Macaca mulatta: one gene and its partners. The protein of the gene in region 3 interacts with the protein of the main gene of each other region in a pairwise test. Links are inferred from orthologs where the notes say so. Each region holds a gene or a part of one and is shown on either strand. Other genes may lie near its edges.

Evidence for each region.
Region 1: the proteins of RUNDC3A (region 3) and EIF3E interact in binary tests that used the Homo sapiens proteins (3 or more experiments, as listed by UniProt). The two-hybrid records come from large-scale screens. The link is inferred for Macaca mulatta from reciprocal best matches to the Homo sapiens genes RUNDC3A and EIF3E.
Region 2: the proteins of RUNDC3A (region 3) and RAP2A interact in binary tests that used the Homo sapiens proteins (3 or more experiments, as listed by UniProt). The link is inferred for Macaca mulatta from reciprocal best matches to the Homo sapiens genes RUNDC3A and RAP2A.

The regions. Positions count from the first base shown.
Region 1 is NC_133413.1:118,454,706-118,458,356, forward strand, and holds part of EIF3E (eukaryotic translation initiation factor 3 subunit E), read right to left. Parts: intron 1,759-3,651; coding exon 1,656-1,758; intron 1,374-1,655; coding exon 1,239-1,373; intron 155-1,238; coding exon 116-154; 3' UTR 1-115. UniProt on the Homo sapiens protein: Component of the eukaryotic translation initiation factor 3 (eIF-3) complex, which is required for several steps in the initiation of protein synthesis.
Region 2 is NC_133422.1:92,209,110-92,212,760, reverse strand, and holds part of RAP2A (ras-related protein Rap-2a), read right to left. Parts: intron 3,010-3,651; coding exon 2,772-3,009; 3' UTR 1-2,771. UniProt on the Homo sapiens protein: Small GTP-binding protein which cycles between a GDP-bound inactive and a GTP-bound active form. In its active form interacts with and regulates several effectors including MAP4K4, MINK1 and TNIK.
Region 3 is NC_133421.1:68,680,657-68,684,916, reverse strand, and holds the start of RUNDC3A (RUN domain-containing protein 3A), read right to left. Parts: upstream 2,837-4,260; 5' UTR 2,620-2,836; coding exon 2,513-2,619; intron 1-2,512. UniProt on the Homo sapiens protein: May act as an effector of RAP2A in neuronal cells.

The DNA of each region.
Region 1 (3,651 bases), on a different chromosome or scaffold from region 3:
AAAATGTATACTCAATATGTTGTTTCCAAAATGTAAGTCACCCTTTATATAATAGTTTTATTATTTCATCTTTCTTTTCTTTTCTTTTCTTTTTTCATCTTTTCTTTATGGTTCTTCAGTAGAAGCCAGAATCTTGAGTTGCCCAATTAGGAGCCTAAAATATGCAAAAAGAAATGAACAGAGTGAAAAGAAAATACTTTCGGAAAAAAACTAACATACAAGAAAGTGACACAGCATTTACTTTAGCACTACTCTTGCCAAACCATTCTAAGATCTTAACTCCTGCAATTACTAGATGTCAGATGTCCCACTTAGGACAAAACAAACATCAAAATTATTATCTGGTATAGTATATGGTCAATTAAAATGTATAGCAATAACGGTATCATTAATACTGGAACAATAAACAACACAAATTAATCCTGAAGCATACAGAAAAAAACATCATATGAAAGTTATTTTCTAGGCTCAGTTATTCTAAACTTGGTTAAAATATGCAATTCAAATTCTAATGCATCCTTCCCTTTTGAACTAAAGGACTATTCCACGGACACAAATTTGTTCCTAAAACTTCAATCAAATAGGGTTTCTGCATATCCCACAACTGTTTCCTAATGACTTCCTACCCTCCAGTTACACATAATCATAATGTGTAAACAACATAGTTTAGGATTCCAAAATTATAAGGCCATTCAAGTTTCTTCAATTGCTAACATGCAGAATTAATCTCCCAAAATGGGAGATTAATTTTTGATGTGAATATCAGATGAAAGATAATGACATTTGTATAAGATCAGCACTAATACATATAATAAGATCAACATTTTTACAGAACTATTTCTTTAGATTTAGAAAGAATACACATTTCGAACACTTGAAAGAGGGCTACACATGTAAGTTATCATCTGCCAGTATCAAAATGATGTGTTGAAAACCCTGAGGAAATGAGTTAATGAAGTCACACAGGAAGAGTCAAAGCAAAAGAAAATAGTTATAATAAACTAGGAACACAATTTCTTTTTGAAGAGTCAAAGCAAAAGAAAAATACTTATAATAAACTAGGAACATAATAATGCATCTAAGAAAAAATTCATTTGTTTAGTAATTTCTTAAAATGTTCATATCTTTAAAGAGAAAAACAAAATCAGCTACAACTCATATCAATACACTTCCAAACTTCATGTAACAATTACACGGTTGCTAAATCCCAGACAGAATAGAAAATGTGTGGTTCTTACCTCTGACCTGCTATTCTGATTAAGTTTCTTCTCAATATTCATGGCCAACATCTGGCTTCTAAAAGAAAGGCTTTTGGTCTTTTCAATCACTTGCTGATAGGGTGAGACTGCATTGTTACCCATAACCACATGACCCTAAAAGGAAACACAGGGAAATTGATCCTATAATGGATGACAGAGTTTCTCAGGTGAGTAATAAGCATGACATAACCTTTGCACATATTTTAATGCACTATATAGAGATGACAATATTTACCAAGTAAGAAAAAAAATAGGAGGCTTTTGTTGCCTTCAAAGAAATGTTTTACATTAAAACAAAATAAATTATTAAAGGAGGTAATAAAATGTCCTAGTTAAGAATTCCCAAAAGTATAATCAAGAACTGATAGTATGTAGCATAGCTAACATAATACTCACTAATTTAGAATCAATCTTGGCATCCAGTCTTGCATTTCTAATCAAATTTACAATCCACCTTTCAGCTTCTTCTGGAGTCATGTTCAATTTATCTGCCAACATGCTAATGAAAAAGTAAAAACAGCAATGTTAATTAACTGGGCCTAAAAACTTAGTTTTATGTACACAGTGTTGACTCATACTCTGCACAGAGACTTTTTGGTATTTCTGGATCACCTTTCTCTTATATACTATGACCCCTACTGTCTGATTTGTTCATGTGTTTGTGCCTATTGACTTGTACTACGCACGACCTATTCCATTCACCGACTGGACTGTAAAATCCTTGAGGGTAGGGTAACATTCTGCATTTATGGAAATCCTTCAGCTTCTAGAACAGTACTTTATATTTACCAGCTGCTCAACAAGTAACGATCTAAGCGAGAAAAAGGTTTTATGATGTTCCCTCTATATCAGGGTATATTAAAAGTCAGCCCTCCATATCCACAGGTCCCACATCCTCAGATTCAGCAAACCATGGATAGAAAATATTTGGGAAAAAACAAACAATAAAAAAGAATACAAAAATAATACAAATGAAAAAACCAACACAGTATAACACCTATTTACATAGCATTTACATTTTTAACAGTAACCCAGAGATGACTGAAAGTATATGGGATAATAAGCGTAGGTTATATGAAAATATCACCCCATTTCATTTAAGACACTTGAGAATCTGAATTTTGGCAGCCAGGAGGGTCCTAAAACCAGTCTCCCAAGGATACCAAGGGACAACTATATAATGGTTATACAAAGGAAACCTTTGTATAAAGCTTTCTTTGTATAAAGAAGACATATGAAAAAGACACTTGCACAGATATATTTATAGCAGCACAATTCACAGTTCACTTAGGAACCAACCTAAGTGCCCGTCAACTAATGAGTGGATAAAGTAAATCTGGTATATATAAACCATGGAATACTACTCAGCCACTAAAAGGAAGAAAATAATGTCTTTTGCAGCAACTTGGATGAAACTGGAGGCCATTATTCTAAGTGAAATAATGCAGGAGTGGAAAACCAAAAATCTTATGTTCTCATTTATAAGTGGGAGCTAAGCTATGAGCTAAAATCTCAGAATTCACCACTATATTATTCATCCATGCAACAAAAAAAACCCCACATGTACCCCAAAAGCTATTGAAATAAAATTTTTAAAAAAGTAAACCTACTATAAGGAGCATCAGTAATAAGTATAATCTCAGGAAAAACATAAATAAAACTGAGGGGCATTGTGTATGTTTGTGCTATAAACTGTGGGGGCACTCTCTGGAGCTATATACTATATATAGTGTGTGTGTGTATATGTCTATATATATAGACACTGAATTTCAGATAAAAGAGATGGAGGGAGTGCACCAGAACATGAAGATCTTGATCTAAAATACTATTTGATATCAATCTGCATTTTGTATTTTTCCAATTTTATGATCAGGTTGAAGAGGGCCATTGCAGTGCTTAATTTATCAGAATTAAAAACACACCAGTCTTAGTAAGTAGGTTAAGTCAGTTCAGCTGATGGAAGAGTACCTACATATGCATGTAAAATACTTAAGAGTATGTAGTATACATGCATGTATATATGTGTGTTTATACACTGTCTTTTATCCTCATGGAAGCCATCAGGTCTCAGCTAAAATAAGACCCTCATAAGCCTTCTAAGACACCTCTCCCAACTGTGATACATCAGTTGGGTGCTTTCATAGCACCTATTTTTGCTATAGTTGTTTTACCGAATATCTGTCTCCAAGGTAGACTGTATACATGTAACCAAAGTGCAAGCACCGTATCCTCCTCATTCCTTGCCGTTATGTCTACCAATTAGCAGCACAATGCCTCGTACACAGGACACAATAAATATCTACTGTCTGATTGATTCCCATTCTAGTCTCTACCCTAGTTCAGGCTCCATTACTATTTCTTAGTTTTCTAACTACTTTACCTCTTGAGTCTC
Region 2 (3,651 bases), on a different chromosome or scaffold from region 3:
CCCAAAAGTTGCAACATCAAAAGAAAAAAAATTCAAAGATGCTGCCTTTGTATAAAAGTAAAAAAAAGAAAATCTTATCACAAGAGCTAAAGAAAAAGTGGGTCTTTGGATCAAACCATAATATTTTTAAGGCATGTGAGAAAAACTTTCACTTATCTAAGTTGCTAGTCTGATCAGGGCATAAAATAAATCGTGACACAAGGTCAACTTTCTTCTGTAGCCACTAAGGTTTCATATGCCAACAAATGTAATCTTCCTGTTCTTAAGCATTTTATTACTGTAATATCTCAACAAACACATTCATTTGCCAACTGAGTTATATTCACACCAGATGGATAGGAATTTCCAGTTTCGGGATGTCCTTGATGCCTTGGTCACCAAATATGCAGGTTTGCGTGGAAACACTGATCAGGCAGCCAGATCAGTTATTATTCATGTCTTGACAGTAAAAGCCCACCTTGTCATCTGACACAAATGTTTTTAACTATTAATACAATTCAAAATTTTAGATCATTTTTTCCACTTTACATTCTGCCATATCTTTCATATTATTTAACCTATTTTCACATCTGCATAGCAAGTCATAATGTCAAACTGTGGGATCTTTATAGATATTTCTATTTTGCAATTTTATTTGTCAAACATTGCTATTAGTTATAGAATTCAAAAGAATCATTCTGAGAAGTTAGAGGAATCAAAACTCAACCAATTCACTAACAAGTATTTTTATTTCAGTAGAGAAATCATATATCTTGAATCTCCAATTTCTCTACATGTTTGAATCAAACCAACTTTTATGCAGTGAAATGCGTTTCAATAAAATTGGTTAAAAATTTTTTCCTATAAACAAGGTGCTTCATAACTGAGGATTATAAAAAATTATACTGAAGAATGTAAATATTCAAAATTCAAAGATTTTTGACAACTATGGCCTGGTTTCATTCACCTATCTCTTCAGCTTTTTCATTATGAAAAATACTATCAACCTTTTTTTTTTTTTCATCCTCTAAGTTTAATGCCAGTTATTAAACATTTGGGGGGCTACCAATGATTTCATAAAAGTATAAAAGACACTTTAATAATTTAAAAGAAAAAAGTTTTTGATACACTATATTCTGCAGTATAGATTCTTAGTATAGGCAAATTATCTCTGACTTGTGCCAAATTCTTCAGAACAATAAACACACATGCACACACAAACACACACTCTTCTCTCAGTGACACACGTAAGACCAGAGGTTACTTGCACAACACTGTGAAACCAACAAAATGTGGGGTGGTGTATAGATCGCAGGCTCAGTGATATTGCAGTTCTGAAGGCCAAATTCTTCTCCCAAGGCCCAGCTCAAGATAATCTTTTCAGCATTTGTAACTGAAGTTAGCTGAAGATCCCTGTATACTTGATTGTAAAACTTATGAATAGGTTTTTCCTGTGCCATTAGTCATGCAAATGATAAATACTTCACGGCTATGAAAACCAAAAATGTCAGAGCTTGAGCACCTTTTCAAAACAAAATATTCACTCCAGCTTTATTTGACACTTCAGTAATCAGGGCAAAATTGTTCTAAGAAAACCTTTATATAATTCTCCAGGAAAATTAAAGATAAAAGGCTTTTGTCCCTTACCTTCCACTCTATAATTTATGTTCACTTTTAAGCCCAAATTATTTCACATGGTTATTCAATTTTTAAAATGCCTGCAATAAAGCTCTGCTACAGCAAACTTGATTTTGAAAGCAGGTTAGCCACAGGTTACACTACAACCATAGCCCTTAAAGGCGAGAAGGAATTTGCTGCTTTAATGAACTTAAAAATGCCAGATATTCGTACTGTCCTGTGAGGTTTCTGCAAACAGGAACATGTGGATGCAACATGGCTTCATTTTCCTTACATGATGGTACTAGTTTATCTATTAGAATGCTTCTTGTTAGTAAGGCTAGGTAATCTCTTCCCATCACAGTTGCTTCCCTCTTGTTCAGTAAAGTTACAAAGACCACCCCTGCTCAGTTAACAGAGGGCGGGGTCGGGGTTTTAATTCTGATCAAACCCTTGTGAAAGCCTCCATTTTCTGTGGCAAAGCAGGTGATTTAACAAATTCTAAAGCCAGACTATTTTTATATAACCTGTTCTGACTTTTGCTCTATCAAGGATTGAAGCATGAGTTAGTTCCATGTCACAAATTAGAGTAACAGCTACAATTAAGCATCAATTTTGAAAAACAGAAATGTGTTAGCTGAGCAAAGAATCTCTCCCTGTAATGCTGTTGGCAGGTCAGCTGTTATTATCTTACTTGACGAAATACATTGGTTAGAAGCTCTATCCCAATTCCTGAAATTCAGTACTCTTGTAGGAAAATATTTCTCCTTTACTTATTTTTTTAAAGAAGACAAAATATTTTAATTGTAAGTGGTCATAGGAATTCTTCTGGTTTCTCCCTTATGGTTATTTTTAATTTATACAATAGTTGCTTCTGTCAACTCAGCGACAATGCCATCATAGCTTTCAAATGAGATCACCCTGTAGATCGATGGACTATGCCTTAAAGTTGCAGATGCATAAAGGAGACTGAGGACAAATGGTGAAAACTGTAGTTACTGAACCCAAATGTTACTCAGAGATATCAACTGACAACCACTGCTCAATTCTGAATAAGGGCTGCAGTTCTCTGTAGATTAACACCACGCATCCTGCAAGTTCTGCAGTGGAGTAGGCGAGTTTTCTATCACCTACGACATTGGGCAAATCCCATCCAGGACAGCCATATTTGGATGCTATTGTATGTTACATGCAGAACAGCATGGGTCATCTTTGTCAGGCTGAGCAGCATAGTTCATCTGCCTCACAATTTCTGCAAAGAGTTCGTCCACCATTGTTTTACTCTTAGCGGAAGTTTCCATAAAGGGGCAGCCCCACTCTTCAGCAAGTGCTCTGCCTTCATTGGACGATACTTCTCTCTCACTTTCCAGGTCCACTTTGTTCCCGACCAAGATGACTGGCACTTTCTCATACCTATGAGAGAATACACAAAACACAGACATTGTAATAGCACAAAGTTAAACAGGTCACGTGGATTTTTGTTTTGGGCGGCTATTCCAGCATAAATGATATCTTCAGTTGCATGAAAATGATTTGTACCACTTGGCTTGATACTTATCTGAGGGCATTTGAAGCTGCTCTCACAGTGGATCATAAAATGAGTTTTATGAAATGATGTTTTAATTAATCAATTATACATCCTTTAAAATCAATTTATCTTTCCAGATATACTTGGAAAATTATTCTCAGAAACTCAGACTAAATCCTCTTAATTTTTTTTCTATTCTGAGGGAGGGTTGCACAAAATTTCACAGTTGATCACATAATAAATAACTCCAATGAGCAAACAACTTATAATTATCAGCATTTCACTATGTTCTATGTGTATAAAATTGATCATGTTCATATAAAAATTAGCCGAGTATGGTAGCAGGTGCCTGTAGTTCCAGCTACTCAGGAGGCTGAGACAGGAGAATCGCTTGAACCAGGGAGGCAGAGGTTGCAGTGAGCTGGTATCATGCCACTGCACTCCAGCCTGAAAAAATGATCATGTTCGTTCTAATAGTTCTCAGATAAGAAAAAAGCTAGTAGAAATCATCCAAATGGAAGCCATCA
Region 3 (4,260 bases):
AAATTGATGGTCCAAGAGGTTGACTGATCTGTTCAGAGCTACATGGCTTATGAGGAGTCAAGCAGGTATGTCTGATTCTGATTCTGAAGACTCTGCTCTTTCTGCTACATCTGTGGCCTCCTGGCAGCTATCGTGAAGACCTAGGCCTGGAGCAGCCCCTGCTCCACCGCCCTTTGTCCTCTGCACCACAAGTCTCCAGCCCTGGAGCACTGACCTCTGCGGCTCTCAGGCCAATTGCACAGCTGAGCCGTTGTCCCCCTTCCTTTTGAACTTAGAGTTGATCTGGCCTGAGATCAGAGCCAGGTCAGTCTTGGGGTTGCACTAGAGGGAGGCAGCCTGCTGGATTCAAATCCTGTTTCCCTGTGACACTCATGTGGCCTTGGGCCCCTCTCTGAGTCCCCTCTTGCCAAATGCAAATGGGAACAATCGTACCTGCCTCATTACATTTTGGTTGAGAGCCCAGGAAGGGTTGGGAGATGGTAGGTGCCTAGGGCTGCTGGGCAGGGATGGTAAGGAGCGGGGCTGTGGCTGGGAAGGCTGGCCCTGCTGAAAGCAAGCCTGTGGTTGGGGCATTATCCCAGCTTCACTATGCCCACCCTCCTGCCAGCTTGATTTCTCCTGGTCATCTGGGTCAGACAATGATGGGGCCTGGACTGGGTTCAGCATGGCAACCATCTGGTATCTGTCCTCAGGGGTGCCACAGAGGTGGTCATTGCCCCCGGGAGCCCCGTGGTGTGCTCTCTGATAGGAGATGCAGTGGCTGCTGCAGGTTACCATGGAGACAGCGAGGCCAGGGCCCAGGGGAGCCCACGGCCTGCTAAAGGGAGCTGTTCTGGGAGCTGGAGGCAAACCATGTGACAGTGATGAGGCAGCAGGGGCCTAGGGGTTACTAAGCCTTTGTCACATCACTGACCCCCCAAAACTCTATCCTTCCCTCCCAGTTCTAAGCCACCTTCAGCCCTTCAACTTCTTCTTCTCTGGCCTATGTCAAGGAGAGTTCCCTCATTCCCCTCACGTACTCAAGAGGCTCAGCTAACTTGGCAGGCAAGAGAAAAAAGAGGAACCTAGCAGGTAGAGAGCAGAGAGGGCCAGGAAGAACGTCATTAGGAAAGGGTTCTTTCTGTGTGCCAGACACTGAGCTAGGCTCCTACATGGATGATGCCATTATCATTCTTTGGTATGACTGTGACATCTAAAATGAGGATGATGGGGCACCCAAGGCCCAGAGTGGTTAAGAGACCTCCTCAAGGTTGCGCAGCTAAAGCTGATGGAGTAAGAGCTTGAACCTCGGACCATCTGGCCCCAAAGACAGAAATCTTTGTTTTACAACACACTGGTAGGGGTTGGGGGGAATGAGGGTAGAGGCAGTGCCCTGCACTGTGGGCTGGGCCATTGCTACACTCTCTTCTTCCTTAACGTTCCAGGCATTTCTGCAGAGGTCTGATGTGCACAGCACTGTGCTGGGCACTAGGGATATGATGCTGGGAGACAGATGCAGTGTGGTTGGGTGTGTGCCCAGGAACCTGGAAGGAGCTATGGGAGCCAGGAGCCAGGGCATCAGGTGGGCACTAGTGGGCCTCAGGGTATCAGGTGGGCTTCAGCAGAGCTGAGGCCTACGTGGCAGGCAGGTGGGGCTGGCAAGGGAAGAGTGAGCCCTGTCCCCAGGAGCACCCTGCCCTGAGGGAGCAACACCTGATAGGCATGGAGGCCAGAGGAGGTTGCAGCTGACAGGGGATCCCAGCACCAGAGGAGAGTGCAGGTGTGGGCTGCAGGGGGAGTGGCTGAGCAGCTGGCCATGCCCTGGTTTTGGGACAGGGCAGGGAGGGTGAGTCACTGCAGGTTTGAAGTGGACAGGATCACTTCCTGGGCCCCACAATAGCGGAGAATCTTCCCAACCCAGGAACCGTTCACCCTCAGAGACCAGTGGCCGTGCCCTCCCGGTCTTCTCCCCTATAACCTGGAACCCAGGCTCTTGGTCCTTCCCACGTCTTGGGCGGTGCCCCTCTCCCTTCCCTGGAGGGATTCATGGGCTCTGCCCCCATGCCCAGTTGACCCTGCCCATCCCTGCTCCAGAATCTGAGCATTGGAGAACCCCACCCCAGAGGGTCAGTTTGACATGGGTGCCAATGAGGGTATGCTTGGAGGGCATTCATCCCCCCATGGGGTCCCCTCTGCCCATCCCGCCCCACTCCCAGCAAGGGAGCCAGCCATCCCCACCTCCTTCCCCCTCACACAATGTCACTTCCTGGTTCTCACAGGAAGCTGCAGTACCAATTAAACACCCCTCACCCCTCAGGCCCAGGCCCCGGCATAGGCCACTTGGCCTAGAAGGGTAGGGACCAGACTGCAGCTCCCTCTCTGGGTTCTGGGCCTGGGAGGGACAGTGGACGCATTATTCTCGACTCTTTGCTCCCCTCCCTTTTCTCCGCGGCAGCGCTCCGTCCGGGTTTCCGCAGTCCACCCCAACCCCTCTCTCTGATCACCCCAGCCCCCGCCCGCCAGCGGTGCCCACCTGCATACGGTGATCAGGTTCTTACGCTCCACAGCCACATTGCGAGAGGATGCTTTCTTGGAGGACAGCCCCAGAGCCATGGTGGTCTGGACAAAGCTCGCTTCCATCCAGATGTGCGGCCACTGCTGCCGCCGCCCGCTGCCCCCCACCCCACCCGGAGCCCCAAACCCGTCGCTGGATCACGGCTGGGCCCTCTGTCCGCCGCGGCCCCTCAACCCTTCCATGGCCATTCCCCTGCCTCTGCGCCTGGTGCCCGGCCCCCTCGCTCCCTCCCCCGGCAGCGATGCCAGAGCAAAACAAGGCCGGGGAGGGAGCTCTCCGAGGTGCTGAGCCGGGCCCCGTCAGCCCCTCCTCCAGCCGCCCGCCCCCCTCGGCCAGTGACGTCAGGGCCCTCGGGCCCCGCCCCCCAGCAGGCCGAGGACCAATCCGCAGAGGGTGCAGGGTCTGGGGGGAGGGGAAGAGCCGGGGCCCCAGGGAGGGCGGAGGGGGTTCCCGGGAGAAGCAGAGATTGGAAGGAGAAGCAGGGGGCCTGCCCTCCACCCCCACACTCTGGGCCCGAGACTCCTCGCTCCTCCCTGCCTCGAGTCTCTGGCTCCGACCTCTCTACTCCCTTGTTTCTGACCTGTGCTCCGTGGTGTCTCTGATCTCCCCCTGCCGCTGGGGGAAAGGAGGTCCTCACCTCCGTGACCCTCGTCCCCTCCCCGCCCCCTACCCGTTCAGCCCCGGCTTTCTCGGCGAGGTGGGGGCTGCGTGCAGGGAGCGCAGGTGGCTCCGGGCTGCTAACCCAGGAGGCTAAGGAGCAGCCCTAGAGACTGCATCTGCGTGTCTGTGCCTGGGCTGGACCCGCCTGCACCAGCCAGGCCGAGCCAACCTCTCCTGGGGTGGAGGATGGGACTCCAGACGAAGCCTAAGGGTCCAGCGCCTGGAACCACTTGGGACAGAGAGTGGGGAGCAGACTGGCAGCGAAGGGCCCTGGGCTCTGCGGAAGTTCCCAGCGGCAGAGCAGGCGCCTACAGTGGTGCCAAGGCAACCGGAGGGGGTGGTGGCCCACCCCCTCGCACCACCCCAGAGCCATCTGGCCTAAGGTTAACCCCTTGGCTGCCGGCATTGCTGCATAGTGCCATCAACCCTCTCTGAATGGGGTCATTGATCTCGGGCAAGGCCAGGAGTGTCCTGTAAAACTGGTTGCAGTTTCTCCCTGGGGGTGGGGGAAAATGCAGGCATAGTCTGGTTTCCCCCCCTACCCCCCGCCCTTGGCCTCCTATTCCTCTCTCACATCCCTGCTCCCACCTGCCCTGTTCCTCTATTCAACCTGTTCCAGGATTTTCAGCGGGGGGGTTCCCCTTCACCTGCTGGAATCCTCAACTCCCACATAAAGCCTTTCTGTGTTTATTAAAGGGCCTCTACCCAATTTCTCCATCTGCCCCTAGGAACATTCCTCCCAGGACTCACTCGTACCTATTCTCCAACTCTGCCTACCTGCTCAATTCACCTGATGCTCTGCCAGTGGATTGCTGATGTCTCTACATTGATTCAGATTTGCACCCACATCTGAAAATAATCAGCAGGAAGGGACCCTCTGTCACCACAAGCGGAGGAGGAGGAGACGAAAGAGCCTGGTTTTGACACCTGGAGACTGACTCCTAGCTCCTGATTCCTAGCATGAGATCTCACGTTTATGCAGCCTCAGCCTCAATTCTTGGCTTCTGGGACCTCTACCTTTTTTACTTTTTTTTTTCAATTATTTT